4 linked regions of the Astyanax mexicanus genome follow. The protein of the gene in region 3 purifies or fractionates together with the protein of the main gene of each other region. This does not show direct contact. Links are inferred from orthologs where the notes say so. Each region holds a gene or a part of one and is shown on either strand. Other genes may lie near its edges. The genes, in order: xpc, top1b, parp1 and jun.

Region 1 (7,494 bases), on a different chromosome or scaffold from region 3:
ATTAAAATTATGTTTTCATATTCATATTATAAAACAGTTAATATTGTCGTAAAGTCGTCATTATCTCAGGCTTGTAAACGCCTGAACATATAATATGCTAGTACTTTGTTTCAGTAGCTAGCTAACAAGCTAACTCTTAAATCCCACCTTAAATAGTGAAACAGAATAGAAAATAAAATGAAATAAAAGCTAACAAAAGCTAATTTCAGCTAGTTTTATTAAAGGTTTGTTATGGTTATATAATGTTATGGTTGTTTATGCAGATTAAAAGATTAAAAAGTTAGCAGTTAAAGTTTTCTTTATTTTCAGAGTAAGTTTCAGAGTAAGTTATTCCAGAGTAATATTATACAATTTTATACAAGAGCAATTTGTACTTTCAGCAGTGTGCTAAGTCCTGCTGGAAAATGAAATACGCATCTCCATAAAAGTTGTCAGCAGACCCTTGTAAAAGAAAAGTGTAGGCTATTAAGTTTATTTAAGTATATTTAATTTAAGTATACTTAACATGGAAAAATACACAAATTAAAATACATACTTAAATACATACTGAATGTACTATTTTTGGAACAACTTACGGTAACTTATTAAATTGTGCTTTTGAGTGCTTTTTTCATACAACAAACTTAAGTAGTGTCAGGTCTTAGCCCTGTCTCGTGTCTCTGTGTGTCTTCCCCACGTGACCTGTGCTCCCCTGTGTCTCCCGTCTTAGTAGATTTCCACCTGTGTCTCATTTGTAGCTCCGCCCCTTCCCCAGGTGTTTCCAATTCTAGAGTGTTTCTTGTTTCCTTATATAGATCCCCTGTGCCACTTTGTCTCTGTCGGTCTTTGCACCTTCACCTGTCGTTCGTCTCTCTGTGTTTTCATAACGTTTCTCAGTGTCTCTCTTAGCCTTGGTTCCTTGTTTCTTGTTTATTTCTTGTTTTCTCGTTTATAGTTTATTTCCTTGTTTATTTCTAGTTTCTTGTTTTATTTCTTGTTCCCTAGCTCCCTGTATATACCCTGTTTGTGTTGATTCCTAGTTTAGCTCCTTGTATATATTCCCTGTTTGTTTATTTATATTATCTCTAGTTGGTTTAGTTTAGGTTCTTTGATTTGTTATTGGTTATTTTTGTATCTTTGTTTCATGTTACTTGTTCCTTGTTATCTTGTTATTTATTTATTAAATTATAATTTATTTTCACCCTACCTGCACTTGTGTCCGCCTCCTCGTCTCCCTGCCTGGGTCATCCGTGACAAGTAGATTTAAGTATGTGTGTTGTTTAAACATAATTTTTATGCACTTAAAGTATATTGTAAATGTAGCACTACTATTGATGCACGTATTATGTACACCTTAAAAAAAAGAAAAAAGAACTACACTAAAGTGAACTTTAAGCAGTATTTAATGCCAATATATATATTTTTTATCAACACAATGTATAATTTAAAGCATGGCTTAAAAATACATTTTAGGAAAATACAAAGAAAGTATATTCAATGTGTATTTTTTAAATAAAGTATATTAAATTAAAAATGCACTTTTAGTGTGCTTTACCTAATTTGAACATCCTTTTAAGTCCAAAGTCAGTGCAGTGTTTTCATGAGTTCATATGACAATAAAAATGCTAGTCAAATTTTTCTCAGTAGCTAGCTAACAAGCTAACTTTACCATTCCACCTTAAATGGTGCAACAGAATGAAAAATAAAATCAAATAAAAGCTACTTAATAAGCTAATTTTAGCTAGTTTAAATAAAATGTTGTTATGGTTATTATATAATGTTATGGTGGTTTATGCTGACTAAAAGATTAAAAAGTTAGCAGTTAAAGTTTTTTTTATTTTCCTCAGAGTAATATTGTATAAGACCAATTAGTACTTTCAGCAGTGTGGGCAGTGCGCCAAGTCCTGCTGGAAAATGAAATCTGTCAGTGCAGTGTTTTCATGAGTTCATATGACCATAAAAAATGCTAGTAATTATTCTTAGAAGTTAGCCAACAAGCTAACTTTCCTATTCCACCTTACAAGAAAATAATAAAAAAAGGTATTAAAAGCTAATTTTAGCTAGTTTTATTAAAGTTTGTGTTTGTTTATGCTGATTAAAAGATTAAAAAGTTAGCCGTTAAAGTTTTTTATTCTCCCCAGAGCCAAAAGACAGTTGCGCTGGAGCGCCATAAATCAGCGCTGCGTTAGATTTAATCATTTGGAGGAGCTGCAGAAGCTCTTCCTGACTCATCATCAGCTTCATCACTCTGAGTTTATTCTGCAGCAGCGACTGATTATTATTTAATAAACACTGCAGAACGAAGCCTTACTGAACACACAGACATAACGCATTAATAAAACTCATCATTAACCCTTTAGCTTTCTGCTCAACTGTTCTAACAAAACACATTCTGATTCACTGTGCTCCGTTCAAGCGTAACATTATAACTACCTCCTGTTTCTACTCCCATAACATTAAAACGCATTACTTTTTCAGCTCCACTGATCATACAGTGGCAGACATCCCAAGTTGCAAAAGTTGATTTCACCCCCCCCCCCCCCCCCAAAAAAAAATTGCACACACACCCAAAGGATAACGAAACTTTACTTTTAATTATACTTTTTTAAATTACATTTAGAGTATTCAGAGGTGAAATTAGTTTTCTTTTTTTACTTTTTGGAAGGACCGGCCTCTGCTTTCCTTTATTTTTTTTTGGAAAAAAAGCCTTTATTTGACAAACATTGACAGTTACAATATCACAAAAAATTGCACATCAAAATCATTTCATATCATATTACAATAATTATTAATATTGCCTCCGCCATGATCTGCTTTCTCTCACTCACTGAACAAATCCCGTCCGGGAGGGGGAAAAACACTGCCCGCCCACACTAAAAACTGAACCCTCTCTGTTTTTTCTCTCTCCTTCCCACACGCGATTAGAGAATAAAAGTCTGTGGCCTGTGTGGCGTTTGGGGCGCTCGTTCTGAATTCCGGGAGATTATATGTGACTCGCGGGCATCAGGGAGCCGCTACCCAAATGCGGGAGACTCCCGCAGCTTCAGGGAGACTTGGGTTGTCTGCAGTGGCTTGTAAAAACCTCAAGCTTAAGATTTGTGAAGTGCACAGCTTTATAGTTGTTCTGTGAACAGATTCTCCTGATCTACCTGAGCTGTGGATCTCTGCAGCTCCTCCAGAGTGATCATGGGTCTCGGCTGATCTCTGATCAGTGCTCTCCTGTTTGCTGGATCTGTTAGTTTGGATGGATGGTTGGTTCATGTCTTGGTAGGTTTGTAGAAACAGTTGTAGAATACTTTTTCAGGTCCATTTTTGGATGATTAAAGTTTAGGATTTTTTTTATAACCTAACCCTGCTTTAAATTTCTTCTCCACAACTTTATCTCTGATCTGTCTGGTGAGTTCCTCTTCGTCTTCATGATGCTGTTTGTTCACTAGTGTTTATTAACAAACCACTGAGGCCTTCACAGAACAGCTGTATTTATACTGAGACTAAATTACACACAGCTGGATTAAATACAAATAATAAATAATAAACCAAATTAAGTTAAAAATCAATAACACAAAACTATTAAAAATAAAATAATGAAGAAATAAAAAGTTAAAATAAAGAACTAAGAAAAAACTAAAACAGTTCAAATTAAGAATTAATAAGATTACGTAAAGCTGGTACACGGTGTTCACTAATAAACCAGGTTGTCTGAAGGTGGATAAAAGTTTATTTTACCAAATATTGATTCAAAAGAATTGAATAGATTCAGTTCAGAAATCAATATTTGGTGGAATAACCCTGGTTTGTTTTTAATCACAGTTTTTTTCATGCATCTTGGCATCACGTTCTCCTCCTCCACCAGTCTTACACACTGCTTTTGGATAACTTTATGCTGCTTTACTCCTGGTGTAAAAAATTCAAGCAGTTCAGTTTGGTGGTTTGATGGCTTGTGATCATCCATCTTCCTCTTGATTATATTCCAGAGGTTTTTAATTTGGTAAAATCAAAGAAACTCATCATTTTTAAGTGCTCTCTTATTTATTTTCAGCGCTGTATTGCTCGCTGTTCTTGTATTAACTCGGTGCAGTGCTGCCCCCCGCCGGTTGGTGCTCTCCTGGACGCGGGACGGGGCTGACAGGAAGCGGATGTGACGTGTAGAGGGGGGTGTGGTTTTTGGCAGTGGTGTGTTATGAAAGGATGGAGGGGGTGTTGGGTAACTGCAGGGTCTGAATGAGAGATTATACAACTTTACTCCACCTGTACTACAGTTTACCTGCCCTCATACCCGGAGAGCATTACAGCAGCAGCAGAGGGGCATTACAGGGGTATCAGAGGGGCTGGGGGGGCAACATGGCTAAACGTAAGCAGGCAGCAGATACTGGCTCTGAAAGAGACACAACAAAGAAGCTCCAGCAGAAGAGCAGAACTTCCAAAACCCACAACATCAAAGGTACTGAATAGATACATTCTATCACTGATCATCATTAATAAATAACAATGTAGCAAATACAGCACTCTCGCTTTTTATCCTACATTCAGTAAATGAATAGTAAAGTGATGTATCAGATTATGAAGGAACACATAATGAATCATGTAGTAACTTAAAAACAGTGTTAAACAAACCAAAATACTCTGTGAAGTATTTAGATACTCTTATCTGGGAGCTGTTTGTTAACTTTTAGCAGTTTCTGATGCTGGAAACTCTGATAAACTTATCCTGTACAACAGAGGAAACTCTCGCTCTTCCTTTCCTTTCCTGCAGTGGCCCTGATGAGTGCCAGTTCCATCATTATAACGTTTTTGATGGTCTTTGCAGTGACTGCACTTGAGGATACTTTTTTTAAGTTCTTAAAATTCTTCTTTTCGCATTGACTGACCTTAATTTTTTCTTAAAGTCATTTATATTTTATTTAACTTTACTTAGTTGAGTAGATCTTGATCTCATAATATGGATTAGAACAGGGGTTCAGCCCGGGTCCCACATTTATAAAATACAAACCAAACAAATTAATTTTTCAAAAATAGCCTTTAAAAACTTGTTTAAAAATACATATGCATGCAAAGTGAATTTAAGAGCATTTTTTACTGAGAAACTGAAGAGGAACATGTATAAAAGTTAGTACAATTAATTTAAATATCAAAACTGCACAAAATAAATAAGGCCACAAAATTAGATATTTCTCTTCTCTGCATTTCTCTGCATTTAGAGTACATTAGTAAAAAACTCTATCTATCTCTTTTTTCCCCCAAATATTAAAGACTATTACAAAATCAGTTGAGCATGAATTATTTTGCATTTTTTATTGTTTTGTCACAGTTTGTCGTTCTTGCCTACTCTCCCCATTTTGTGCATTTATCTTTATCCATTTTATTCTATTTTATTTTATCTTATATTTATCTATTTTAACAACTGCTCTTTTGAGTGTAAACTGGACTGTAAGATATGATGTGAATGACAATAAAATCTAACATTCTAAAAAATAAAAACGTTGAATTAGAAGGTGTGTTCAAACTATTAATTGGTGCTATATTTTAAAAAAGGTAAACCTGCCAAAACTAAAGGTAATAGGGTGGTTACATGGGTGTCTATTAGCTATACAGCTAACCTGCTAACATGCTGAAATCCCAGTTTGGGTGGATAAACTCTAAATTGGGAATGTTTTTTTTTGGCAATAAGACAAGAATGCTGAGATTCCAAAAATAAATACTCTAATTATAACAAAATACTTAATAAATAAATGTTGCGAGATCTGTCATGAAAAAGTATTTATCAATTTATAGTACGATATGTTGACTTTTCCTCTTATTAAACAGTATATTTTATTATCAGTGTTTTACGGTAACGGTGCTGTACTGTAATATGAGTGACTGCTGTAGGCTGGGAGATGTGTGTGAGTTACGAGGTTGTGTAACGTGCTGTTGTTAATGCGAGTGCAGTCATTTCTGCAGGCTGCAGCTGGTGAAGGGGGCGGGGTTTTGCATGGCTGCTCTTGTGCAGCTGTATTAACAGTAGCTGCTGCAGCATCTGCACACGCACACACACACACACACACTGTACACTATAAAGACTCTAATCTGTAAATTAAATTTGTTTACCATATTTTTCACACTATAAGGCGCACTAAATTATAAGGTGCATTATAATGCAACACTGACTAAGTTAGTTACACAGAAGTTAGATAAAGCTAAGCTAAGTAAATAAAACTGTAACTTTTAAATAAACCATCATCTTTTAAAGTTAAATGAGTGCTGGATGTTAATCTACACAGATTTCTCTCCTGAAAACTGTTTATTTGGGTGAGTAAAACGATTCCATTTATTTACAGTAAGATTAGATTTCCAGATTTTCACTAAGGCTGGGTGCAGCAGCATAAGCATTAGCATTAGCGGCTAACAGTAAATGCTGCCTGACAAAGCTACACTGAGGAACTCATTATTTTGAGATAGCAAGTCATTATTTTGAGACACTAAGTCAATATTCTGTGATAGCAAGTGTGATTGCTTATAATTTTTTTTTTTTTCAAAATAATGACTTACTATCGCAAAATCATGAAATAGTATCTCAAGATAATGACTAACTATCGATAGTATCACAAAAAAATGCGATAGCATAAATATATATATATATATATATATTTTTTTAATATTATTATTTTATGTGACGGGAATATGGCTTCCATACCCCCCCAATTAGAATAATTAAAGTTATTGCTTCATTACTCCAAATGGTGGCGCTATAATCCCTAAGTAAATAGGATTAATAAACCTGCAGTGAAAAATTATTGATTGTTAAATTGTGTGTCTAAAAAATAAATAACACCAATAAATCTGTAATTAATGGTATTTGATTATTTTACCTGAGTCTTTAATCCTCTTCAGTAACTCACGGATGCTGTGAAGTATCATACAGAATTGTATTGTGTGTGTATATATATATATATTTCTTATATATTTGGTTTGTATTTTATCAGAAAAGGCTTCTGCAGCCAAAACCGTGATGAAGAACCTCAAACCCAGAGTCCGAGCCTCCAGAAAATCAGATGATCCTTCAGATACGAAGAGAAGCAAATACTTCAAGAACAAAGAGCCTTTGGGGGCGGGGCCTATGAAGGCGGGGCGTCCGAAGGCGGGGCCCCTGAAGAAAGAGCCTCTGAAGGCGGAGCCTTATGATATGAGTGACTCCAGTGAGGACGTCAGTATAATATCTCCACATATCACTGCGCCGCCAATCAACCAGATCAAAGAAGAGGAAGATCAGAAGGAGGTAAAAAAAGAAGAGGAGGATGAGGAAGAGGAGGAGAGTGATGAAGACGAGGACTGGGAGGAGGTGGAAGGTGAGTTCATTCATGCTGTTGTGATCATCTGCACCTTAAAGGTAAAATAAACATCAGTCAGTAACTCTGATGAACTTATCCTGTACAACAGAGGGAACTCTCGCTCATCCTTTACTGGGCTGGTCCTGATGAGTGCCAGTTTCATCATCATAATGTGTTTGATGGTGTTTTTTGTGAATGCACTTGGGAA
Region 2 (8,010 bases), on a different chromosome or scaffold from region 3:
ATATATATATTTATTTTTAAGCACATGATTGCCTCTGATATTTAAACCAAAGAAAAGTATATGGCTAAACATATGTTTTTGTTCACATAACCGTTTTAATATTTTCTCATTTGGTGAAAAATATGTTTAAAATATTCTTAAAGTAACAGACCTGTCAAACGTGCAATAATATGTAATGTAATGTAATTTTCATTATATTGTTAAGATTATTAGAGTTGGTATGTGTACACTATTCAGATTTTTTGATATTCATGATACAGGAATAATATGCTGAAGTTTAAATTTTAAATGTACTATATCTAAATCTGAAGTGTACCTTTTTAAGCTTTGAGCAGCAGGTCTTCTAAAATGTATTTAAAAACATTCAGAATGATTTTTCACACAGTTCCGTTTTTGTTTCCTGTGCAGAAAACAGTCAGAATGTACCGATTTCCCCCGGGGTGAAACATTTGCATTATAATGGTTTAAATACCTTCCCTCTGTGTGGTTCCTCATTCAGAATCAGTCCAGACTACAACACTCCTTATAGCTTCAGTCAGTGTGAATGGGTGGGGCTGAACCGCTGCAGGGTAAAGAGGTGGAAAGGTAAACGCTCTGCTTTTGTTTTGAATGAATTCGGATCGAGCTGTTTACACGTGTGAACAGTGTGAAGCAGAGTGTGAACAGTGCACAAGTGTTTCTATATAGTGAGTGCGTAACTAAGCTAAAACTAATATTTTAAAATTAGGGCTGTGTTTAGAATTGTTTCCCTAATAATAAGAAACACATAAAAATAAATAAAATATAAATAACACATTAAAAAGAGGATCTTTAACATAAAATTACAGCAGATAAATAGGTAAAAAGCTTTATTAAGCACAATCACTATTGATCCAGAACTGATACAAATGCTTCCCTCTGCTGACAACTTTTATGGAGATGCGGAATTCATTTTCCAGCAGGACTTGGCACACTGCCCACACTGCAGAAAGTATCGATTGATCTTGTATAATATTTAAATTTTTATTTTTTTATTGGCTGTAAGCCAATTATATAATACATCTATATAATGAGTTTCATATTTTCAACTGAATTACTGAAATAAAGTAACTTTTCAATAATATTTGATTTTTTGCACTAGATGCACTAGTATATAACTACTGAAAAACCCAATAACTTAAATTATAAAATCCCTGATAGTTGTACAAAATGCAGAACAGAGAAGGGAACCCTGTTTTACTACATGTGGAAATGCAAACGTACAATAATTAAAAAATAAAAATAAAAACGGACAGTCTCTACCATAATTCACCAAAGAAATCCCTTTATTCTCAAGATCTGTATCATACCAAAAACACTGGCCCTAAAGAACACATGAGAGTAATATGCTTTTCCTTTGCTTATTCCATGCAAAGCTTTTTAATGCTGGACATTAGAAAAGTTGTGGATTTATTAAATTTCTTCTTGTTTATCGATTGAAAGACTTGCAAATACAATTTAACAAAAAATTGTCATGTTTAAGGTTTTTTTTTTTAGTAAACTTTATTAAAAATCATTTTTTTTGTTTACAAATACAAAAATCAAATACAAAATATCATCACATTTCATCACATTTTCTCACATATCAAAATAGTAACATTAAGTTAAAAGGTCAGAAAGTCCCATATTTTTATTGTTTTTTTTTCTATCAATAGCCCGTCTTCTTTTCAGTTCTCTTACAATTTGTTTAAACACAGTATCACTTGGTCTTCCTTTCCAGGGGTGGTCCTGATGAGTGCCAGTTTCATCATTTGATGGTCTTTTGAAAGTAATCTCAAGTACATTCACAGTATTAATTTATGTATAAGTACAATGTTTAGTACTCCACATGAGAGAAAACCAACACAGAGCCATTATTATTATTATTATTATTATTATTATTATTATTATTATTATTATTATTATTATTTGGGTGTTGGATCATTTATTCTCAGCATTGCAGTGATTAGCAGTGATTAGCAGTGATTAGCATGGTAGTGGTGTATGAGGTATTTTGTGTGTGTGTTTAGCTGGTACAGTGAGTGGATCAGATACAGCAGTGCTGTTGGAGTTCTTAAACACCTCATTGTTTCATTGTTGCTGCTCAGTGCTCCTACAGTATATGATCAGTGGAGCTGAAATATGGATGATGGAGGTGTTTGTGACTGATGGGTTTGGTTTTGTCCCTTTCCCAGGGTTCCTCTGGTTCTAGAAGCTTGTATGTCCAGCTCGGTGTCCCTCCACAGCCTGGCGATGAGGGACTGGCACAGTCAGGACGTCTGCTCGGGCTGCCAGGACCTTCTGGTGGAGGCCTGTGATACAGCACAGTCCCGTTGCCCGATCACTGACCCTCAGGAGATCTGACCCTCAGAACCGGGTCAGGCGTTTTTATCGCGTGCGGACGCTGCAGGTGGATGCTGGCGTGAATTTTTTTTGGTGTTTGTCTTAAGATATTGTTGTGTTTTTCTCATTTTTACACAGTATTTTGGTGCTTCTAAGCTCCACTTTAACACTGTTCCTATAGCCACGTTCACTGTGGAGGTGTGTCCTGTTTTTTTCCGTGTGCGTTTATTTTTTATTGTTAGAGATCTGGTTTAATTTTTGGGCTGCTAATCACGGTGGCGTTCACTCGTAACAGCGTTCTAGTTGTATGAAATGTTTACCTTTTTTTAAAGACAGTTTTAAATGTAATATTAAGGTAAATAAATGTATTTTTTTCTATATTTGGTCTCCTGTAGTCTCTCTTTGTTATTTATTTTTCTTTTTCTTTTTTTCCTTTTCTTTTCTGACTTGCATTAGCACAGTATTGCATGTCCCCACTGATTGACAGAATTTTAATCTAAAACCTGTTACGGTAAGTCCAAAAAAAAGTAAATAAATGCATATTTTTAGTTTACTTAAACTATTTTAATTTTTAAACTATTTTTAATCACTTCATTTGAGAGTGATTCAAAGTTTTTAAACACTTCTATTGGTTTAGTAGTCTAGTATCTGCAGTGCTGTATGATCCAGAGAAGCTGCTTTATTATTTTATCTTTCTTAACAATTACTTTATTACTGCTTTTCTTCATCTGCCAGACTCTAATTCTTCTCTCGTGTTACGCTGAGCTAAAGCTGTTTCCATATGGGTCAGCCAGACATCTTCCTGTAGCAGTTTCTGGTCTGTAACAATGGAAATATACTGAGATTTGGAAAAGGATTTTTTTTAAATGTCAGTTTCTGAAGTCTTTGTCTGTAGTAAAGCAGTGATATAACAGATGAAGTTACTACTCTCTATTGCAGCATTCACACACTTACAGCATATTCACACTTTCATCATCATAATAACTAGATAAAGACACAGAGAACTCTGTAACTATTAAAAGTAGAAGTCTTTTCTTTTCTTTAGGGAAATTACAGATGAAGTCAGAGAGCGGTGAGTACTGTTTCCTACACCTTCAAATAAAGACTCTTAGAAACTGGAGAAAAAAAACTGCTACAGGAAGACGTCTGGCTGACCCACATGGAAACAGCTTTAGCTTTAGCCTTTAGCTCAGATTAACATGATTAAGGACTGAGTCTCAGTTTCAGCAGAGCAGAGAAGAGGAGAATTAGAATTATAGTGAATCTGACAGGTGAAGAAATTCTGCAGTAATAAAGTAATTGATAAGTTGGAAAATTAAAAAGCAGCACTGCTAATGGACTAAACACCATAGTTAAATAAAAAAGTATTCAAAAACGTTTGTGTGTTTTTTGTTTTAGAACAATAGAAATTACATTAACTTCCATTGAAAGTTAAGATGGTTTTATCTCCTCTGTAAAGTTGCTGTTTTCGTGTCTATTTTGAAGAATAAATCTGTTTTTCTTTAATATTGATCCACAATGCGAAACATTTTAAAATAATGAAAAAAAAAAAACACTGAATTGAAGGTATGTCCAAACTTGACTGGTACTGTACACACACACACACACACACACACACACACAATAATATATCTTCAATTCTCTCTCTCACTAGTGCATAGACTAGTGCATCTGAACAAATTTAAATATCATTAAAATGTACTTTATTTTAGTAATTCAGTTCAAAATATGAAACTCATATATTATATAGATGTATTACACACAGAGTGATCTATTTTAAGTGTTTATTTATTTTATTGTTGATTATTATGGCTTACAGCCAATGAAAACCTGAAAATCAGTGTCTCAGAAAGTTTGAATATTATATAATAAGACCAATTGGTACTTTTGGCAGTGTGGGCAGTGTGCCAAGTCCTGCTGGAAAAGGAAATCTGCATCTCCATAAAAGTTGTCAGTAGCAGAGGGAAGCTGTAAGATATGAAGTGCTGTAAGATTTTGTGGGAAAACAAAACTGCACTGACTTTAGACTTGATAATAAAACACAGTGGATCAACACCAGCAGATGACATGTCTCTCCAAACCATCACTGATAATCAGTAAATTAGACTGTATAAAAATCTAATTTTCTGAGACTCTGGTTTTGTTTTGTTTTTTTGTTATTAGCTATAAGCCATAATAATCATCAACAATAAAATAAATAAACGCTTAAAATAGATCCCTCTGTGTAATACATCTATACAATTGATTTACTGAAATAAAGCAACTTTTCAATTATATTCTATTTTTTTTTAAATAAATAAATAAGTCTCAGTACAGCTAATATACACTGACCCATTACCCACTCTCAATATAATACAGAGTACAGTGTTTGTGTGTGTGTGTGTTGATTTGTTTGTATTGTTTCTATATTTATAGTAGTGCTCACTCGATAGTGTGCACTGCGTAGTGCCCCCCACGCGTCGGATTCGGACTCGCCCCCCTCGCGAGCGGAGCGTGTGCTTGCGTGAGGAGTTTTTTTTGAACGGCGCTGCGCATGCGCAGTGGGGGAAGAGTGGGACTTAGCCTGATAAGCGAAGTGTCTGAGCTCCAGCGAGCTTTTCCCTACCGGCATCTGTCCCTCACACACTGTCTCTCTCTCTCTCACACTCTGCTCCAGCCTTCTCCAGCCCCTCACCGGCCCACCATGAGCGGGGACAACGGACACAGGCACCACCAGGTACCGAGCTCCAGCAAAACGCGAAGAAATACGGAGAAAAAGAGATAGAAATACAGCTTTTACTGCTTTATTTACTGTAACCTAGCTCCTAGCTTAGCTTTCTCTCTCTCTGTGTGTGTGGCTCTTATCTAATAACCTGGGTTAGCTAGCTGCTAATAGTAGCTGATTACAGTAGTTAAAAGGCATGGAAATTACAATATTAATTTTTAAATAGTGTATTAAATTTTTAAAAAGGTGTATATAAGGTTTTTAAGGGTTTGTTCTGTATGTTAAGTTGGCTGACCCCACGTTTGGCCATTTAAACTGCCCTCCTGTAGCTAACAGTGAACAATGTGCTGCTGTTCTAAATGAAAAATGAGGCGATTCCCGCACTAACCCCGCTGTTTTTCCACAGATGGACTCTGGATCTCGGTCTAACGGTGAGTTTTGAGCTAAATTTTTGTGTTTTGGGGCGATATTGGGGTGTTTAAAGCCTGTGAGAGCGCTGGATCCAGCAGGAGAGACTGTTAGTTTCTGAGAACAGAAATGGCGTCCCAGAGACTAAGTCCCCTCACCCTCACTCACAGCCGCCTATTGTTCAAAACCAGCGCCCAAAAACACGCTTTACCCCCGCGAATTCTCCAATATTCCCCGCGATCCCGACAGAACCGGAGGTGTTTTATAAGACTCCGAGCCCGGTTCGGTGGGTTCGGGCCGGGATCGGGTCGTATTTCAGCGCTGAAAGTGAGGAATGGGGGTTGAGGACTTAGTCTCTGCGCCATTTTCTTTTTCCTCTCTCTGCTCTCTGCCTGTAGTTACTGCACGAGCGAGTCAAAGAGCCGAATCGCCAGGAGTCGATTCACCAGAGGATAGCTACACGATTCTCTTATTAAAATCGAATTAAAACGCGAAATTAAGACGTATTTACTTAAATACTGCTTGTGGCAAAAAGAAAAGTGATTCACATACTGTATAATCACGTAAAAAACAGAAAACAAAAACAGAATTAAACAATAACAGAGGATATAGAATGATTTGACTAAATGATTCAGTGATTCAGTGGTATGTTAAAGTTAAAATGAACAGCAGTTATCTGTACACTCAGGCCTGTCACGATAATCACATTATCGATTTATTGTACGATACACGATACACATCTGATAATCTTGATATCGTCTATTATGTTTATTTGTAGTAATTTAGCCAGTAGTGACACATTTTTGGTGGAGGCTATGTCGTAAAATATATCCTTAAAACCAGGATTAAGCAAATAACACAGGGTAGAGATTGTAATCTTGATGATTCAGTAATATGTTAAAGTTAAAATGAACAGCAGTTACCTGTACACTCAGGCCTGTCACGATAATCACATTATCGATTTATTGTACGATACACGATACACATCTGATAATCTTGATATCATCTATTATGTTTATTTGCATGTTTATTTCTAGTAATTAGTAATTAGTCATGACATCAATTTTTGCTGGACAATATATCGTGAAATATGTCCTTAAAAACAGGACTAAGCATATAACACAAGGTAGAGATTGCATTAACTAAATGATTCAGTGATTCAGTGATGTGTTGCAGTTAAAATGAACAGCAGTTATCTGTACACTCAGGCATGTGACGATAATCACATTATCGATTTATCATACAATACACAAACATGACCGTAATAATATTTGAAATACTCGATAATCTCGTCTATTCAATTTTTGGTGAACGATATATATTTTCCCAGAAATTGTGATAATTTAACTTAAAACCAGGATTATGCAAATAAAACAAGGTAGAGAATGTTAACAGATACTTCAGTGATATGTTAAAATTTAACTGAACAGTATCTATACTGGCATAATACTGTAAAGTTATCTCGACGATTCAGTGATTCAGTTAGGTTTGTCACGATAGCCACATTTATCGATTTATCGTACAATACGCGTATATGACCTGGTTGATTATCAAATATCTTAATATTGTCTTTTATGTTTATTTGTATGTTTGGAGTAATTTAGCCAGTCGTGACACTAAATTGCAGTGGACGATATATCATAAAATATACCAAAAAACACAATTAACACATGTAACCAGACAATTCAGTGATATGTTAAAGTTTAACTGAGCAGTATCTATACTGACATACTACTGTGAAAGTATTGTTTTTTATTTGTATTTTTGTATTAATTTAGCCAGTCGTGACACCACTTTTTGGTGATTAATTATTATTATTATTATATTGTAAAATATATCCTTAAAACCAAGATTAAGCAAATTACACAAATTAGAGATTTTCCAGTAGATTATTCAGTGATTTGTTTAAGTTTAACTAAGCAGTATCTATATTGATGACATAATACTGTAAAAAAGGTGTATGTTTGTTGTATTTCTCAATTTTAGTTTAATACAGCAGTTTGTGAGGTAATCACATCGAATGAAACCCTATTGAAATGCTCTAAAACCAAATCATTTTACATTTTCATGAACCTAATAACAGAATGTAGAGAACGTAATCAAGATGATTCATTTAGGTCTGTCACGATAATTACATTATCGATTTATCGTACAATACATTTACATGCCCTCGAAGACATTTGATAATCTCAATATGTCTTATCTTTATTTGTATGTTTTGTAGTAATTTAGCCAGTCCTGACACCACTTAGCGGAGGACGATATAATTGATTTATCCCAGAAATTGTGATGATTTAAAGCAAGGATTAAGCAAATAACAAGATAAAGAATGTAACTAGATGACTCAGTGATATGTTAAAGTTGAAGCGTGTCTGTACAGGGTACGTAAATTCAATGAAATATACGTACTAAACAACAGTATCATCATTTTAAAACCGTTAGCTGAACGACACTGACGTAATAATGATAGAGTAGCATAGGGCTTGGAGGTTAATTGAATTATTTGATTAATCAGATGCTGTTTTAATGCAATTTACAAAATTGGATGATTTGAGATT
Region 3 (7,867 bases):
ATTCTTCCAAGAAATGCGACAATCCAAAGGTCCATTCATGTCATGGAGATGTTAACCATAATGTTTGTGGGTGATAACAGGTTGAGAATGTTAAACTTTTCAACAAAAAAAAAAACAACATTTCTGCTGAACTGTTGATGAAAGGCATTACACTGACATGGCAGGAACTAGTTTAGTGTCCCATGACTTTTGCCATGTCCCATAAAAAGTTAAGGAATGCTGAACTGACCAGCAGCATGTGTGTCTGGGGCCTCCTGCATTAAATGTGTATGTTCACTCTGACAATTCTAGCCAGACACCACAGCGCTGTCCACTGTGGGTGGTGATGCCTTCTATATCATATTCCTGATACACATTTGACACTGTGGATTGAGGAATGTCACACACTCAGAAATGGATTGTCACATCCGTTTGACACCTAATACAAGACCTTGCTCCAAACTCTGGTAATTTATATCACATTGTTATGAGCACACTGGCCAATTGCCTCACTCACAAGATAATACCACACAAATCATACAGGTGTGGGTGTTCCCAAGCAACGCTTCATGATCATTTTAAATTCTGCTATCCTATGACTTGTGGCATGTACGTGTAATAGGCTGTCTGACTCACCTAGGCTGCCAATACAGCCTCAGATTTTTCCTAGATTTTTGAACATTGCTGTGAGGATTTTTTGCGTGTGTTTAGACATTTGCATACACAGTGATCTGTGCAAGCAAAGCCAAAAGATTTAATATTAATTCTGTGTCAAATGCATATTTTTGCTTCCTCATTTAAGAGAATATCCACTTGATGGCAATGGCAGTCTGAAATACCTCTCTCCTCAGATACATACTGTATATTTACATTGTCAATATTAATATTGTAAATATTTTATATGGAACATATTAAGCACATTTTATCATTATCATAGTACATGTAGAATACCATAACATGTTTGCAAAAGATCATTTTTAAATACAATCTTGTTAAGTAAATGTAAGGTGAGGCGAGATAAATGATAGGAACCCCTTTCCTTTATACAGAAATAAGGAAATTGCTGCTGTAATTACTGTAAAGTCTTCAAACTGTAATGTTTGACCAATACTGTATGTAATGCTCATTCAAATTGTTTTAGTATTAGATCTTTGTCATTTTCTTAATCAATTTTTATGCATTCTTGTGCAGTGAATTTCAGTTGACTGGATACACTCTTATAAAAGGGGTTCATCAATGGTTCCTTAGTAAAATAATTGATTCTTTATAGAACAACTCTCCATGGACATGACCACAAGAAACATTTGAATGCTTAAGTGGGTTTTTGGTAGTGTAGAGTTTTCTTCACAGTGATGGAAAATCAAAAAAATATCCACTATAATTATAAATTAAAGAACTATTTTGATAAGAGTGTAAACAAATCACACGTCTTCATTTACTCAAATTTACTGGACTAAAAGATTCTCTGGCTGAGACCAATTAAAAAAAAACATAGTGATATTACTTTATTTTGACTTTTGACTCTGTTTTATGTTACTATGTTTAATGCAGTTTTGTAATGTTCATCATTTTTAAACGTCAGTGTCAAAATGCAGCAGCCATATTTATCTTGCCTTGGAGTAGAAACTTATGAACAGTGAATGGATAATTTCTCTGTAGATTCCTGTATATTCTCAGACCATCAGCAGCACCCATGTTTATCAGGACTGCATGCCTTCCTCTAAAGTCGCTGTTATAATCAATGCTGTAATTACTTACCCATTCCAATAGTTTATTTTCTACTGAACTGCTGGTGCAATCTGTGACAAATTCTATGTTCAAACTGGCAATGTATCATCTAATTATCACATAATAAAATATGTTACATAATGAAAAAAAAAATGCTTTTGCTCATTAAGACTGCTGCAAAGTGTAAACATACCCTATACACCATGAATTCAATCCATGCTTATCATCTCTTATCATCTCATCATTGCTGCACACTATGACAGTTCCTGAAAATTATATTATAAATATTTAAACCCTGTGGATTTATCTTGCAATGATTTACAGCTGTTGCCCTTAAACAGTCAAGTGAATTAGCTGTCTAATATTTCTTTGTAATAAGTGTCCAGAAATCTATCAGTCACTGGAGGTTAACCTACTTTATGTGGAAAAAAATGTATCTATTTATCAGGATCCCACAGAACTACCACACGGCAAGTATCAATTGGGTGATGGATCATTCTCAGCACTGCAGTGACACTTGCACGGTGATGGCAAAGTTGATCAGACACAGCAGTGCTGCTGGTGTTATTAAACGCCTCAGTTTTATTGCTGCACTGACAGGCCTATAATTGAAGAATAGGGTGAAAAGAGATAATAAAGTATACAGACAAACAGGAGGACTAGAGTCTATATTATTCAATATATATTATATAGAGTCTATAATTACACTATTTAGCACTGTAAAACACAAAACGTAATATTGTTCTCTTTAATCAAAATTATAAGCCAACTAAACAAGAAATAATGAATGGCGCCATAAAATATAGCAAACTAACTGCCTTAACTAACATTATCAAGTTTCTTGTTAGAAGTTCGCCTAAGTAAATCATTTGTGTTGGAAACTTTACAAATTGTAATAGTTGAAAACTACTTGAGGCCAAGCCAACTACTCTGCACACCTGATGTTGTTTGCATATTCGGCGTATCCTTCCACCTCTCACTCACTATCAGTGTGTAGTCATTCTCTAAAAGGTGTCTTTTCTTGGAATTTATATGTATATATTTATATGTGTTTTATCGTAGTTAACTGCCTGGTCTCAGTTAATGACATATACATAACAGTCATAAATTCTCAGTTGCCAACTTAAATTCACAAAAGTATTGTGCTCCTTATGTTTGTTGGATTTATGATAAAATATGTGATTGACACAAGTTAATTGTTCTAGTTGATCTTAAAGGATAGTCAGCACGTTTTATAGAATCTAAATCAGGCCAACTAACAGAACAAATTGAATTTTTAAGTTGGTGAGTCTTAATAATAAAGTTTTTTATGCATATAAAAAAGATTATCTGAACTAAAGATTTCTAGATTTCTTTTTTCAAAACTTAAAAGTTTGAGTTCAGAAAACTCCAGAGAACTCGAACGTCCCAACTAAGCTTCCATAATATATTTGCACTGTAGTAAAATGCTTTCATTTTTAATGTGCATTTATGTACCATCCTTCTCCTTTACTTGCAGAAACAATGCTGTGCGTCGATCACCTGGCCAGTGTTTTTTAACCAGTCGGCCGCCGCCCCCCAGTGGGACGTTGAGGTACTGCAAGAGGGTCGCAGGTCAAAATGAATATATATTTATTTATTTTGCAAAGTAAAAATTCTTCCAATATATAGGTAATTCAGAAAATGTAAAGTAAGATGTAGCAGAAATTTATTCAATTTACAAAACATGTTTAGGTCGAGCTCGTTGATGGTTTCATGGAGTAAATTATTAATACAGTTTTTGGGACAAGAAAATAATGAAGCTGCAACATCTACAAGTGCAAGCATAAATTAAACCAAGAAAAAACAAGAAAAGCAAACATAAATTAAAATTAACAAATATAATAGGCTCCATGTTCACAGGAACCAAATAAAAGAAAGCAAATAAAATATGATTAAAGGTTTTGCGGTGCATACACACATATTTTAGGAATGCCAACATTATTAAAATATTGGAAAAACATGCAAAATAAAAAAAGCCTAAATCTAGAATTCCTATTAGAACCATTATGCTTTATTTTGACAAATTATACCAGAGGAAGTAACATAGAAACCAGATATTAATAGCAAGAATTCTTCTTTTGATTGCTAAGTAAATTAGTTGATAGTGGAAAACAAATAACATAATGGAGGGAAGGGGATAATGATTTGTATTTAATGAAAAACATGCTAACCTACAAAAAACTACAATTAAAAACTGAAAAAAAAAAATTTATAAAACAAAAAAAATATTTCTGACAAAATAGCGCCCAGTTTTTCAGTTATTATACACGTAATGTATGTATTTACTTTTTTCTGTACTCTTAGATATAGCTGCATTTTTTCTTCCTTAAGGAATTGTATAAGGGCTTTAAAATAAGACATATTATACCTGTATTGTCCTTAAAGCACAAATGTTAAACAAAAAAATATGTTAAAAAGTTTTGCGGCGGGTTACCCTGACACAGAGGACAGAATCACTTACATGCGCTTCAGATCCACGGCGGTGTGGGGGTGCTGGGGCTGACCCGCCTCTGTGACTCTGAGCTCGATTAGCGGTGTCTGAAACCCTCATTGTGTTGGTGTCGATTGGTGAGGTCTGGTATTCTGCGCGGGCTGGGATTGTTCAGTGTTCACTCTGAAGCCGCTGTTTGTGTTTTTGCACAGTTGAATATTGGAGATGGCCGATGCGCAGGACGACAAGCGGTACAAAGCTGAATATGCGAAGAGCGGGCGAGCCTCCTGTAAGAAATGCAAGGACAACATCGCTAAGGACTCTCTGAGGATGGCCATCATGGTGCAGGTACGGAGCGCTGCACGCCGTGCAGGAGGAGCCGGAGCCGGGGTTTAAACAGTGTCTGAAACACGGGTTTAAAACCCCGATTAGTGTAGTTAATTAATTATCCCGGGCCTGTCTCTGAACTCACCACATTCACCACAGGGCCAGCCAGACTCTCCGCCTCATTTAACGTCTTATTGAGAATGAATTTTATACCGTTCCACCTTAAACGTTGCCCGGTAACACTGTGGGCCCACAGGCGGCAGCGTGTAGCTGATACGCCATTTAAGGTGGAACCGAAAATCACAATAACAAGCATGAGAAAGAGGAACCAGCAGCTCGAGCTGTTCCAGGCCTGAGTCAGTCCCGCTGCATGAGGCGCTGCAACTGGCTGCCTATCAGCTAAATAAAGGGATGGATGTTTATTCTAGTTACTGCTTTAACACAAAAACACTCCTAATGGAAAATACATTTACAACATGTTACCAAAGTATTGTACACTCAGTCTCCTTCAGAAAAAGGATATTTGACCATACCATTTTTCATTTTAAATTATTTTACATTCACTGCTTTTAAGTTGTGTGTTTTATTTTATATTAAGTGTAGTTCCACAGGTTTAAAGCACTGCAAAGGAAACAAAGGAATTCAGAGATTTAGTGAGAACTTAACTACAGGAACTCTGCTTTGTGTACAGTGGGGGTGTACAGCTTTATAGCATGTTAACATACTGTAAAATACTGTATAACAGATCAACAGTGAGCCTACACAAGCCTGTATTTACTCTTGTTGTTAACTATTATCTTGAGCATTTATTTCTACATAAAGTTTTATTTATGTATTTAAAATACAAATGCATTTTCTGGTGCTTTGTTTGTTTATGATGGTAAGTTGTCTGTTTATGTCCAAATAATAAAGTGTTTGTAAGTGGTCATTTGTCTCAACTTCTTTGGTTGCAGAAGTGATGAATGAAATTAAGGTTTTTGTGTTTTACTCCACAGTCGCCCATGTTTGATGGAAAAGTTCCACACTGGCATCATTTCTCCTGCTTTTGGCATCGAGCTGCAGTGCAGGCGACCTCAGACATATCTGGCTTTACCGATCTCCGCTGGGAGGACCAGGAGAAGGTGAAAAAAGCGATTGAAGGTGGAGGCGCTCCTGGAGGTAATTGTATTTTATTATTTAGATAAATAAGACAAAGCACAATCTTACCAAACGAGCAGTATAACATGTTCAGTTAGTTAGAGGGTGTCATAGTAATTCGGGGAAAAAGAGGAGAATTTTGCTTGAACAGCAGTGTTTTTAACACCACACAAAAAGAGTGTTGATCAGCTCCATTTACTTTTAAGTCCACCACCTTCCATAGAAGAGAAGCTGCATCTCTGGTTGAAGATTCTAGATTTAGTACATTTAGCCAAACATTCTTGCTCAGAGAGATGTCTGTTATGAAGCTCCAGTAAAGCGTCACAGCACCTGATGTTTCTGTCCCATCTGAACCTTGTAACTGAGATTCCACTTTAAAAATGATCAGATCAGATGTATGAACATTTGGGAGGATGTTTTTTTAAATTCAGCTATACATACATATATATATATATATATATGTATATATATGTATATATACAGGAAAATAAACTCTCGGAAGTGGACATGGTCTGAATAAGTTGTATACTGGGCAGTGGTATAGATCATTGTTTCTGTATCTTTTAATTCTCTCAGCAAAAAGTGATCAGAAAGGAGCCGCTAAAGGAGAGAAGACGCTTAATGACTTTGCAGTGGAATATGCTAAATCCAACAGAAGCACCTGCAAGGGCTGCGATCAGAAAATTGAGAAGGTACATTACTGATGCCTTTATATATTATTGTTTTAGCAGGTCATGACTATATTTGAGTTTTCATTAATGTAACCCTGCTGAAATTAAGAATTGGTTAAAACATTTTTACGACTTTGCTATACTTCAGGATCAGATTCGTGTGTCAAAGAAAACAGTGGACCCCGAAAAGCCTCAGTTGGGCCTAATCGATCGCTGGTACCACACAAGTTGCTTTGTGAGCCGGCGTGAGGAGCTGGTCTTTAAACCTGAGTACAGTGCAGCTCAGCTTAAAGGCTTTGCTGCCCTACGAGCCGAGGACAAGGACGAGCTGAAGAAACGACTGCCTGCTGTTAAGACTGAAGGGTGAGTGTCAGCCTGTATACTAATCATAGTGTCTTATGCAAAATACAAATACACTTTAACAATTGTATTGTTGTTTTTGTAATGTAAAGTACAGTTCAGTTTTATTTGTATTGAAATCATTGCAGAAAAGTTGTTTTTTTTCTCTGCACAGTCACACTTTTCATTCAGTTTTTTTTCCAAAATATGATTGTATGCATATTATTTTAGTTCCCATGACTTTGCCTGTAACTTTTGTAAGCCCTATTATGCAGTGTAGCAAGCAGTTCAGTAACTGGGAATGACATATGTTCTGCTTGAATGTTAAAACGTTTTTAAGCCTAAACAAAATCATGAATCATGTTTGAGAAGTTATAGTTATTACAGGAAAAATTAACTGCCTCAGGATGTTTGTGTGTTTGTACCTCCACCCTAATCCTCTCCATCTCTGACACCTCTGAAGCACAGGAAGATTCCCTTGAAGGCTTCTCTGAAACTCTTCATCTTGTAGGCATAGAGGAACGGGTTGACAGCTGAGTTAGCATGGGAGAGGATGATGGCAGTGAGCAGCAAGGGCAGGGGCACAGGGCAGGTTGGGCACAGTAGCAGAAAGCAGTTGATCACATGCAGCGGGATCCAGCAGACAGTGAAGAGGAAGAGGACTAGGAAAAGTGAGGTGGCAGTCTTCATTTCTTTCTTAATATTTGCCGCTCCATCAGCTCCACCGCCTGCCACGCCTCGTTCTGCAGCGATTCTCCTGACCTGGTGCTTGACTGTGACAAAAATCTGCGCATAGATGAGAAACATGACCACTAGGGGCGTCAGCACGCAGGCGAAGAAGTTGAAGTAGACCATGTAGGTCATGTCCACCACCAGCACGAAGAAGCAGTAGCCTGAGTCGGGTGGGGTTTTGTGCCAGCCCATTATGGGCACCAAGCCAATGAGGAAGGCTAAAACCCAGGTGACCAGAATGACCAACAGTGCGTTGCGTGGCGTCATTAGGCTGTGGTAGCGAAAAGGCATGAAGATGGCCACATAACGCTCCACTGCCACAGCCAGCAAGCTGAATATGGAACTTTGGGTCAACATGATGAGCACAGACAGCATGAGCAGGCACAGGTACAGGTTGTTGCGCGGGATGCCAGTGTCTGTCAGGATGGCACAGGGAATGGCCAGTGCACCCACACACACGTCCGCCACTGCAAGAGATACCAAAAAGTAGTTGGTAACTGTG
Region 4 (7,806 bases), about 17 Mb from region 3:
GTCGTTTTAAAGAAACTGGTGTGTATGAGGTTGTTCTTGTAGAAGACCTTGTCCAAAGTACATTTTATAGAGTAGAGCTGCAGGATCATCATATACCTACATGTTCAAAGACGAAATGTAATATTGATTATAATAGCAGTAGGCTTTAATCTGATGCAATTCCTGCTCTATTGTTGAAACACATGATAAACAATACTTTTTGATAGTGTAGATGCATTGCTGTTTCATTTGTATACATTATATCGTATTTTGTTTTGTTTATTGTTTGGTCTTTAAACAACTTATTAATCTGTTGTTTATTTCTAATGTATTTATTTGCTATTTGTGACTACCTGCCAAGTTCAAATGAATACCTCAATATTACTGGCTATCTCTGTAGATACAGTTAGCCAATACCTAATGTTAGTGTATATCATATATTAATGTTACACTACACTGTGAATTTATAACTACTATACAACACTTGAGGAACTGAAATAGTGCTGAAGGCTGCATGTCCCACTTTAGTACTCATTTAAATGTTAAATATATATATAGTTATTTTAATTGAAAATGTCTGTGCTACATAGTCTTTACTATAGTAGTGTGTAGTCTGTTTATTCTGTGTGTAACTTTTGTAAAGTTGTAAGGTGGACGTTGTTGGAGCATGGCTACACTAGACAAACCTGAACCTTCAAGACTGTGTGTGTGAAGTGAAGCATTAGTCAATAGTGGCTCTGAATGACATGTTTCAACATGTTTGTTCCATTTACAGACACAACAGACCCATTGTTTTCGTTTGACATCCTTTATTACAGTTCATAAATATTGATTAGTTTCTGATCAGCTCAGAAAACAAACATAAAAAATTACGTAGCACTTTTTATTACAAATGGTAAACTTAAGTACTCCCTGTTGATCTTATTTACAAATAACAATGAGTGAAACCTCATTAAGAAACTTTTTAGAAAAAGAAACTTCGAAAGAAAAGTCGAAAGCTTGACTAACTCAAATAACGTCGATTTGATTCATCTGAAGAACAAAAATGACATTTTGCAACTCAGAAGTCAGGCAGCTCTTATCAAAGGGTCTTTTTTTAACTTTATAGGACGCAACTTCCTGCTGTGGCCCGCCAACATGGGCCGAGCAGAGTCCCTAATGCAGTTCTCTTTTTCTAATACTGAGTGCGCCTGTACGCTTCGGTCCATGCACGACTTGGTCAAAGTGAACAAGGTTGAGTCTCTTTCTTTCGTCATTAGAAAACAACAGTAATAAAAGTAACAGAGTGAGTCTTTCATGCTGTCTGGTGCTGTGGACCCAGCTTGGTGGAGGTCTGGTAAGCTCCACATCTGGACGTCCTTTTGCACGGCACGCGGCCAGACAGGGTCCCCGGGACAGTCCTGGAGCACTTTACGGCTTCACCGGCCCCCCGTCGCCGCAGGCTCTGGTGCACAGCCCCTTTTACACAAGCGTGTCCTTTCAGCCCGTTTGTCCCTTCTTTCCTCGGCGCCCTCTCTGCAGCTCCTTGGAGTTCCCGCTTCAGAAGGTCTGCAGCTGCTGCGTCAACATCAGCTGGCAGCCGCTGTTCACGTGGTTCATGACTTTCTGCTTGAGCTGGGCCACCTGCTCGCGCAGCATGTTGGCCGTAGACGCGAGCTCGGAGTTCTGAGACTTGAGCGTCTTCACCTTGTCCTCCAGGCGTGAGATGCGCTCCAGCTTCCTCTTGCGGCACTTGGACGCGGCGATGCGGTTACGCATGCGCTTGCGCTCGGCCTTGATGCGCTCCTGGCTCTCCATGTCGATGGGCGACAGCGGCGGGGTCTCCCCGGGCATCTCGGGCACCGTCTGCGGCTCCTCCTTGAGTGCCTGTAGCCGCGGGTGCTGGACGGGGAGCGGCTGTGGCGCCTGTTGCTGTTGTGGTGGAGGCGCCAGGGGCTGAGGCGCCGTGGTGGTGTAGCTGACGGCAGGGAAGCCCGGGGCCGCGCTGCTGCTGATGGCAGGGTTAAAGGTGCTCAGGTCCGCGTAGACCGGCGGGTCGGCGCGCGGCGGGGCCGAGCTGTAGGCTGCCGCGGCCGGGGCCGCCGCCATGGAGCTGTTGACCGTGGTGCTGGTCTGAGGGGGCGCCGAGGTCCCGGGCATGTGCTGGTGGTGCAGCTCGGCCAGGGCCCGCACGAAGCCCTCCGCGAAGCCCTCCTGCTCGTCCGTGACATTCTTGGGGCACAGGAACTGGGTGGGCGTGGGCGTGGTGGTGATGAGCCCGTTGCTGGACTGGATGATGAGCCGCTCGAGCTCCGGAGAGGCCAGCTTAAGCAAGCCCACGTCCGGCGACGTGAGGAGGTCGCTGGCCTTGGCCCGCAGGTGCGGCTTGAGCGTGCCGGCCGGGTCGGTGAGGTTGAGCGTCATGCTGTGCTTCAGCACCTTGGCGTTGTATCCGAAAGCGGCGGCGTCGTGCTGCGAAAAGGCTGCGCTCAGCGAGTCGTCGTAGAAAGTAGTTTCCATCTTGGTCGACATAGAAGGAGAAACCAAAACTTTGTCTGAGAGTGGAGGAGCCGTTTCACTCACCAGCGAGCGGTAGAGATCTTCACCACAGCTCTCTCTCACTGTGTGAGGAGTTCAGCTGGAAGTCCGACTCAGAAGCGCTCGCCTCTCTTGGTGAATGAAGTGTTGTCTCTCAGAATAGAAGAGGAGAAGGGCAGGAGCTAGCAGCCGCTTCCCAAACTTCTCGAGCCTCGTCCTCTCTCTCTCTGTCTCTCGTTGTCCCGCGAGAGGAAAAAGTTTGAAAAAAGTTGTAAAAACAGTCGGAACTACGAGGTCTTGCGCCTCTCTCGCGCTGTCAGTCTGTTCACGGGACTACTGTGTGTGTTGTTTCTCTGTTTTAAACTCCTCTCCGCTCTTTCTCTCTCTCTCTCTCTCCGTACCTCCCTCTCCCTGTCCCGTGTGTGCTGTGAGCTCCTCCGCCGCGCTCTCCAACCTTATCTGCCGCCGCTGCCACACTAAAAATAGGGGTCCGATGGTGATGTCATGACCGCGGCCTCTGATTGGCTATGGGCGTCGAGGGGGCCGAGCCGTGGCGCGTTGCCTAGACGACCACCAGAAGATTCTTTCGGCGCGCGGAGGCTCACGGGATGAGGTAATGCTGCGAGTGGACGAGCGCGCGCGCTGCATTGTGGGATTACGTATTGTTTTTGAATATCTGGTTACGCGCTTTAGCTGCTTCAGACTGTGGCGGGACACCAGTGTGTGTGTGTGTGTGTGTGTGTCTATGGGACGGAGCTAGTGTTAGTGTGTGAGGGGAGACCGTGATTTCTGCTCGCTTAAAGATGTTTTAATTACTTTATTATAAGCTCTTTTTATTTGTATGTGTTATTATAGAAGTGAAATATATATATATATATATATATATATATATATATATATATATATATATATATATATATATATATATATATATATATATATATATATATATATGTACAAAATATAACTACAGGCTGATAATGGAACGGGAGAGTCCGGTCTGTGTTCTGTTTTTTAAAGCATAAATAATAAGTGTGGTGACACATAACTCGCCTGGTATTAATAATATAATCGTTAATCATGCCTTAAGGTTTAGAAAGTGTTTTTCTACTTTTCTTTTTTTTTGTTTTGTTCAGGAGATTAATTTCGAAACACGAGCAGTAGTCTGCTTTTGTCGTGGCAGAGTGTGTTTTTACTCACGGTCCCTTCCAGCCAATAGGAGGTGGAGGGGGCGTGGTCTGCAGTGGAGTGACAGCAGGCCACAGAGCAGGTCCAGCTCAGGGAGCCTCTCTAAAGTTCACACAAACAAAAAACGAGAAGCGAGGCTGACGCTTTCACAACAAGCCTGACTAACAAACTCTCGAAATGCAGAGGGACAGAGGAAAGTACAGACATCTGAAACTGTGCTTTAAGGCTGGGGCTGGTGTGTTTATCTGCTCGCGCGAGTCTGACGTGTGGGCTCAGCTGCAGTTGTTTTGGTTTCTGTTATCAGTCTGCGCAGGACCTTCACAGGAAAAGCACCAGAGGAGCTCTGAAGTGAAACTTGTCCCCGGTCTCTGGCACATTTCTGTTTCACTGCTCCACTGAACCCAGAGCTCAACACACACACACCACGTCAGCATGACGTTGCACTCAGGTTTCCTCGTGGCAGTCCTCAGTCGATGTTCACCAAAACCCACTGTTTAGACCTCCTGCTCAGTCCTCACCCTTAATCTGCCCTAAACCCTGTCATTATTTTAGCTTATATGGTTAAACGGCATCAACAGGCAGTTGTTAAAGTTAAGGTTGAGATTTAAAGGTTCTAATTTGTGACTGAATGCAGCAAAATAATATTTTTACTCACTTATTGTGAAATTAACATTCACTATTTTACATTTATTACAATACTTTTCAAAACAGACTATTTTAGATTTAAGATCAACGTGGTACATACACACCAACACATATATACATTATATTTTGTATATCTTTATGTTTCATAATATGACTACAAAGAATATAACACATGTATAACTCTGTTATACCATGTAATACAAAAAGATTATATCCGATTGTAATCTATCTTCCTCTATCCTGCTATTTCCCTTTGGTCTCCTTTTGGCCCTGTATTTTTTACCTACTTCTATGTCTTCTATTACGAAATGAACATCATTATTGTATAAGTCACTTTGGACAAAAGCATCTTCCGAGTGTAATGTAATATATACATTCTCACACATGTAAAGATAAATGTGTATATGAATGAATCTGGTTATTTCATAGCTCTTATATTTGGCACAGTCAATGTGACATATTGACAGTCTGTGTAATATTCTGTCTTGTATTGTGTTTGTTATCACACAAAACACACTTTACTGATCAAGGACCTGATAAAAAAACTTTCTTAACTATAAAACATTTTAGAATGTTTCTGTTGGTTTATTTATCATGGCATTGTAATAAAGTAGATAAATAATGTAAAAATAAAAGTGATTTTATTTAATCAACATTTGCAGTACCAAAGAGTGTGTTTGGTTTACTATTTTGTCTTTTCAGATATTTGTATTTCTATTTCTATTTGTTCAGTGATGCTGTGCAGCACGACTGACTTGTGGTATTTTGCATTTAAACAATAAATGTAGGTCAATCCAAAATCTATTGCCCAGCCCCTTTTTCCTAATGGCCTTATGCTGAAACAAATCTACTGTACAAAACAAAGTGTATTAGCAAGAAGAGGTTCAGAAATCTGAAACACAGCCATGCTGCTCATACATAATCCTTATTCTGATCCGCAATCGAAAGCCTTGGGCAAGTTGTTAATCATTTCTGTTTCAGCGTTGGATCTAGGCTGAAGTGTGTTGGGGGGAATCACTGCTGAATGGAAAATTCGGTGCGCACTAATGCTAGATGTACAGATTAGCAGAGATAAAGAGAGAAGAAGGAAGTCCTATAAGATTTTTGGTTGAAATAGAAAGAAAGAAAATGAAAGCTCTGTGGCCTGCTGGGGGCTGTTGGCAGACTAGCAGCTGCCAATCAAAGGATTATCGTCATTATGTTTAGCTGAGGTTCATATTGCTGTGGATCCTGCCCTTAGGTTTGGGACCCTCATGTAAAAGTAAAGCTTTTTCCAAAACATGCCTGTATCTGACTGCCTTTGATTGCTTGTTGATGAAGATTAGAACGAAAGTAGGCTTTTAAATCCACTCGTTTGTGGCTTTGTGGTTGACTGGGCTTGTCGGGACAACTTTTGAAGAAGCTCTGTGTGTGTGTTTGTGTGTGTCTGTGTGTACTCTTGAGATTTAAATTGTTGCTATGCTTATTTAAGGTATCATAGTTGCTGTAAATAAGTATGATTAACAATACATCCAGACTGGTAATGTTTAATGTGTCATACACATTTATTAGCAGCTTATTTTGTTCTACTGTCCGTTTCAGATGCATTTCCATTGGCCCTGCGCTTGTCTAAAGGTCAGATGAGTTTTATGGGCATGTGAATCTGTGAGACAAAGGTCAAGTGCTAGAGCAGTATCCTCTTATCCTGCATCCTCTTTCAGCACAGCACAATGCTTTCCCTAGGACAGAAACTGGAATGCCCAGTACTAGTTCAACATGGAAACTGAGACTTCTCTGTTTTGAAGTAGCTCTTGTTTTTTTTTTTTTTTTGGCCTTGTCCAGCACAGTCCAGAAATTGTAAAATGGGCTTAACAGTGAGGAACAGCTTCCCAGCATGCCTTTTCCCTGTTTCCATGTTACTTTAGTTTTTTTCTTTTTGTTTTACTGGTTATGTTTGATTGTGTGAGAACAAGATTTATTTCAGACATTTTAGTTTAAATGTAAATAGTTTTAATGAAAAGTAATTTAATAATTTTTGAATTTAATATAAACAATTATATCATATTTAGTAAAAATGACTACAATATATAAGCAAACATTTAAAGAGTAGCACACAAGCAATTTTCATTTATTTGTAAGTACATTTATTGTGTTCATGACAGGCATACCGATTATAACATTCGAAAGATGTTCTGTGATACAGAAAAATTACGTTTGTGACTTTGTGGTTTTAAAATCCTATTTACCACCCAGTAAATAAAATGACAAGCTCTGTTTCTATTTGCTGGTTAACGATGCAGTGTAAATTAAGTATTTTATTCTAAGGCATCTTTAATACCCGTATTTCCTTAAATAACAAAACTTAAAATAGATTTTCACAGGCAAACCTGTATTGATGCAGTCTAAGCTCAGTTATCTGAAACATGGGTGAGTGAAACATAAACATGCGTCAGGTGGACATGTTTAAATTGACAATAAACAAAATGACTGCTATATATAGATGGGTTTGTGAAGGGAATTCTTGGTCTTCAGTCTAGCAGGACAGAGTGTAAATGTGTCATGTTTATGTTGTCAGTAGTTATATGTCTCTATGTCTGTGCCACCCTGGTTGGTCTGGACCTTAAAATATACCCACTCCTTAGCTTTTCTACTTACACCCATGGAAAAAGTCATTATTTATACATTTGTGTGTACTGTATACTATAACGTTTAATAGGGCTGTAGTGCTAATATCAGGTATCCATAGCTGCGGCACGTGTGTTTGCTTTGACATACGGCCTGCCATTAGCTAAGGGGGACTCTGTATTTGGAGATCCATCTCACTGGTGGTCCCCACGTCTGTGAGGAGGGCCTAGTATAAATGTGGTTCATCAACTTCCCTTAAAGACAGTGCCAGAGCAATTAACATTTACTTCATGCTGAAGCTGTGAAAAACGAACACACAGAAACAGATTCAAGTTAGCATTAAAACGCATGCAGTTTTCAGGATTATTCGTATTTTTAAAGCTAAATAAGTATTCATGTTAAAGAGGCACCCTTTTTATGGAGTGAATTCTGCTACTGTAAGGTGCATCCATTGCTGACACAGGTGTTCAACTGAACAAACACAGCTTGTATAGTCTTCATAGAAAAGCATTGCCAGTAGAATTGGAAGCTGTAGAACAACCTCACTTGAGCCTATAAGGTTACCATGGGCAATGCCAATCTGCAACCAGAGAATATTAAGTCTTCCAGCATTGAGCTGTGGTGCAGTGGAACTGTGCTCTCTAAAGTGATGTAGATTCATCCAGTACTTGTGGATGGAGTGTTGGTGAAACATTTGAGATCCAGATCTAATCATTCAACATCAGATCCTGACCTTACTTGTGCTTCTGTGATTGAATGATTATTACAGTAAGGCTCTAATATCAATGTAAAGCCTTTCTATAACAATAGAGACCACTACTGCAGCAAAAAGAGATTAAAATGAATTAACATTAATACTGGGTCAAATTACTT

The links.
Region 1: the proteins of parp1 (region 3) and xpc purify together in Homo sapiens (affinity purification with mass spectrometry; 4 studies listed by BioGRID and IntAct, counting the BioPlex papers as one, with this or other methods). This does not show direct contact. The link is inferred for Astyanax mexicanus from reciprocal best matches to the Homo sapiens genes PARP1 and XPC.
Region 2: the proteins of parp1 (region 3) and top1b purify together in Homo sapiens (affinity purification with mass spectrometry; 4 studies listed by BioGRID and IntAct, with this or other methods). This does not show direct contact. The link is inferred for Astyanax mexicanus from reciprocal best matches to the Homo sapiens genes PARP1 and TOP1.
Region 4: the proteins of parp1 (region 3) and jun purify together in Homo sapiens (co-immunoprecipitation; 3 studies listed by BioGRID and IntAct, with this or other methods). This does not show direct contact. The link is inferred for Astyanax mexicanus from reciprocal best matches to the Homo sapiens genes PARP1 and JUN.

What each region holds. Positions count from the first base shown.
Region 1 is NC_064419.1:49,674,241-49,681,734, forward strand, and holds the start of xpc (DNA repair protein complementing XP-C cells), read left to right. Parts: upstream 1-4,287; 5' UTR 4,288-4,320; coding exon 4,321-4,420; intron 4,421-6,941; coding exon 6,942-7,304; intron 7,305-7,494. UniProt on the Homo sapiens protein: Involved in global genome nucleotide excision repair (GG-NER) by acting as damage sensing and DNA-binding factor component of the XPC complex. Has only a low DNA repair activity by itself which is stimulated by RAD23B and RAD23A.
Region 2 is NC_064420.1:49,261,545-49,269,554, reverse strand, and holds the start of top1b (DNA topoisomerase 1), read left to right. Parts: upstream 1-4,900; 5' UTR 4,901-5,023; coding exon 5,024-5,056; intron 5,057-5,450; coding exon 5,451-5,475; intron 5,476-8,010. Other genes in the region: zgc:114123 (protein spire homolog 1), read left to right, coding at 2,193-2,361. UniProt on the Homo sapiens protein: Releases the supercoiling and torsional tension of DNA introduced during the DNA replication and transcription by transiently cleaving and rejoining one strand of the DNA duplex.
Region 3 is NC_064408.1:79,679,641-79,687,507, reverse strand, and holds the start of parp1 (poly [ADP-ribose] polymerase 1), read left to right. Parts: upstream 1-4,272; 5' UTR 4,273-4,384; coding exon 4,385-4,507; intron 4,508-5,481; coding exon 5,482-5,644; intron 5,645-6,199; coding exon 6,200-6,315; intron 6,316-6,442; coding exon 6,443-6,657; intron 6,658-6,665; exon of another isoform or gene 6,666-7,065; coding exon of another isoform or gene 7,066-7,867. Other genes in the region: adenosine receptor A2a-like, read right to left, coding at 7,066-7,867. UniProt on the Homo sapiens protein: Poly-ADP-ribosyltransferase that mediates poly-ADP-ribosylation of proteins and plays a key role in DNA repair.
Region 4 is NC_064408.1:62,906,147-62,913,952, reverse strand, and holds jun (transcription factor AP-1), read right to left. Parts: upstream 2,966-7,806; 5' UTR 2,491-2,965; coding exon 1,519-2,490; 3' UTR 769-1,518; downstream 1-768. UniProt on the Homo sapiens protein: Transcription factor that recognizes and binds to the AP-1 consensus motif 5'-TGA[GC]TCA-3'.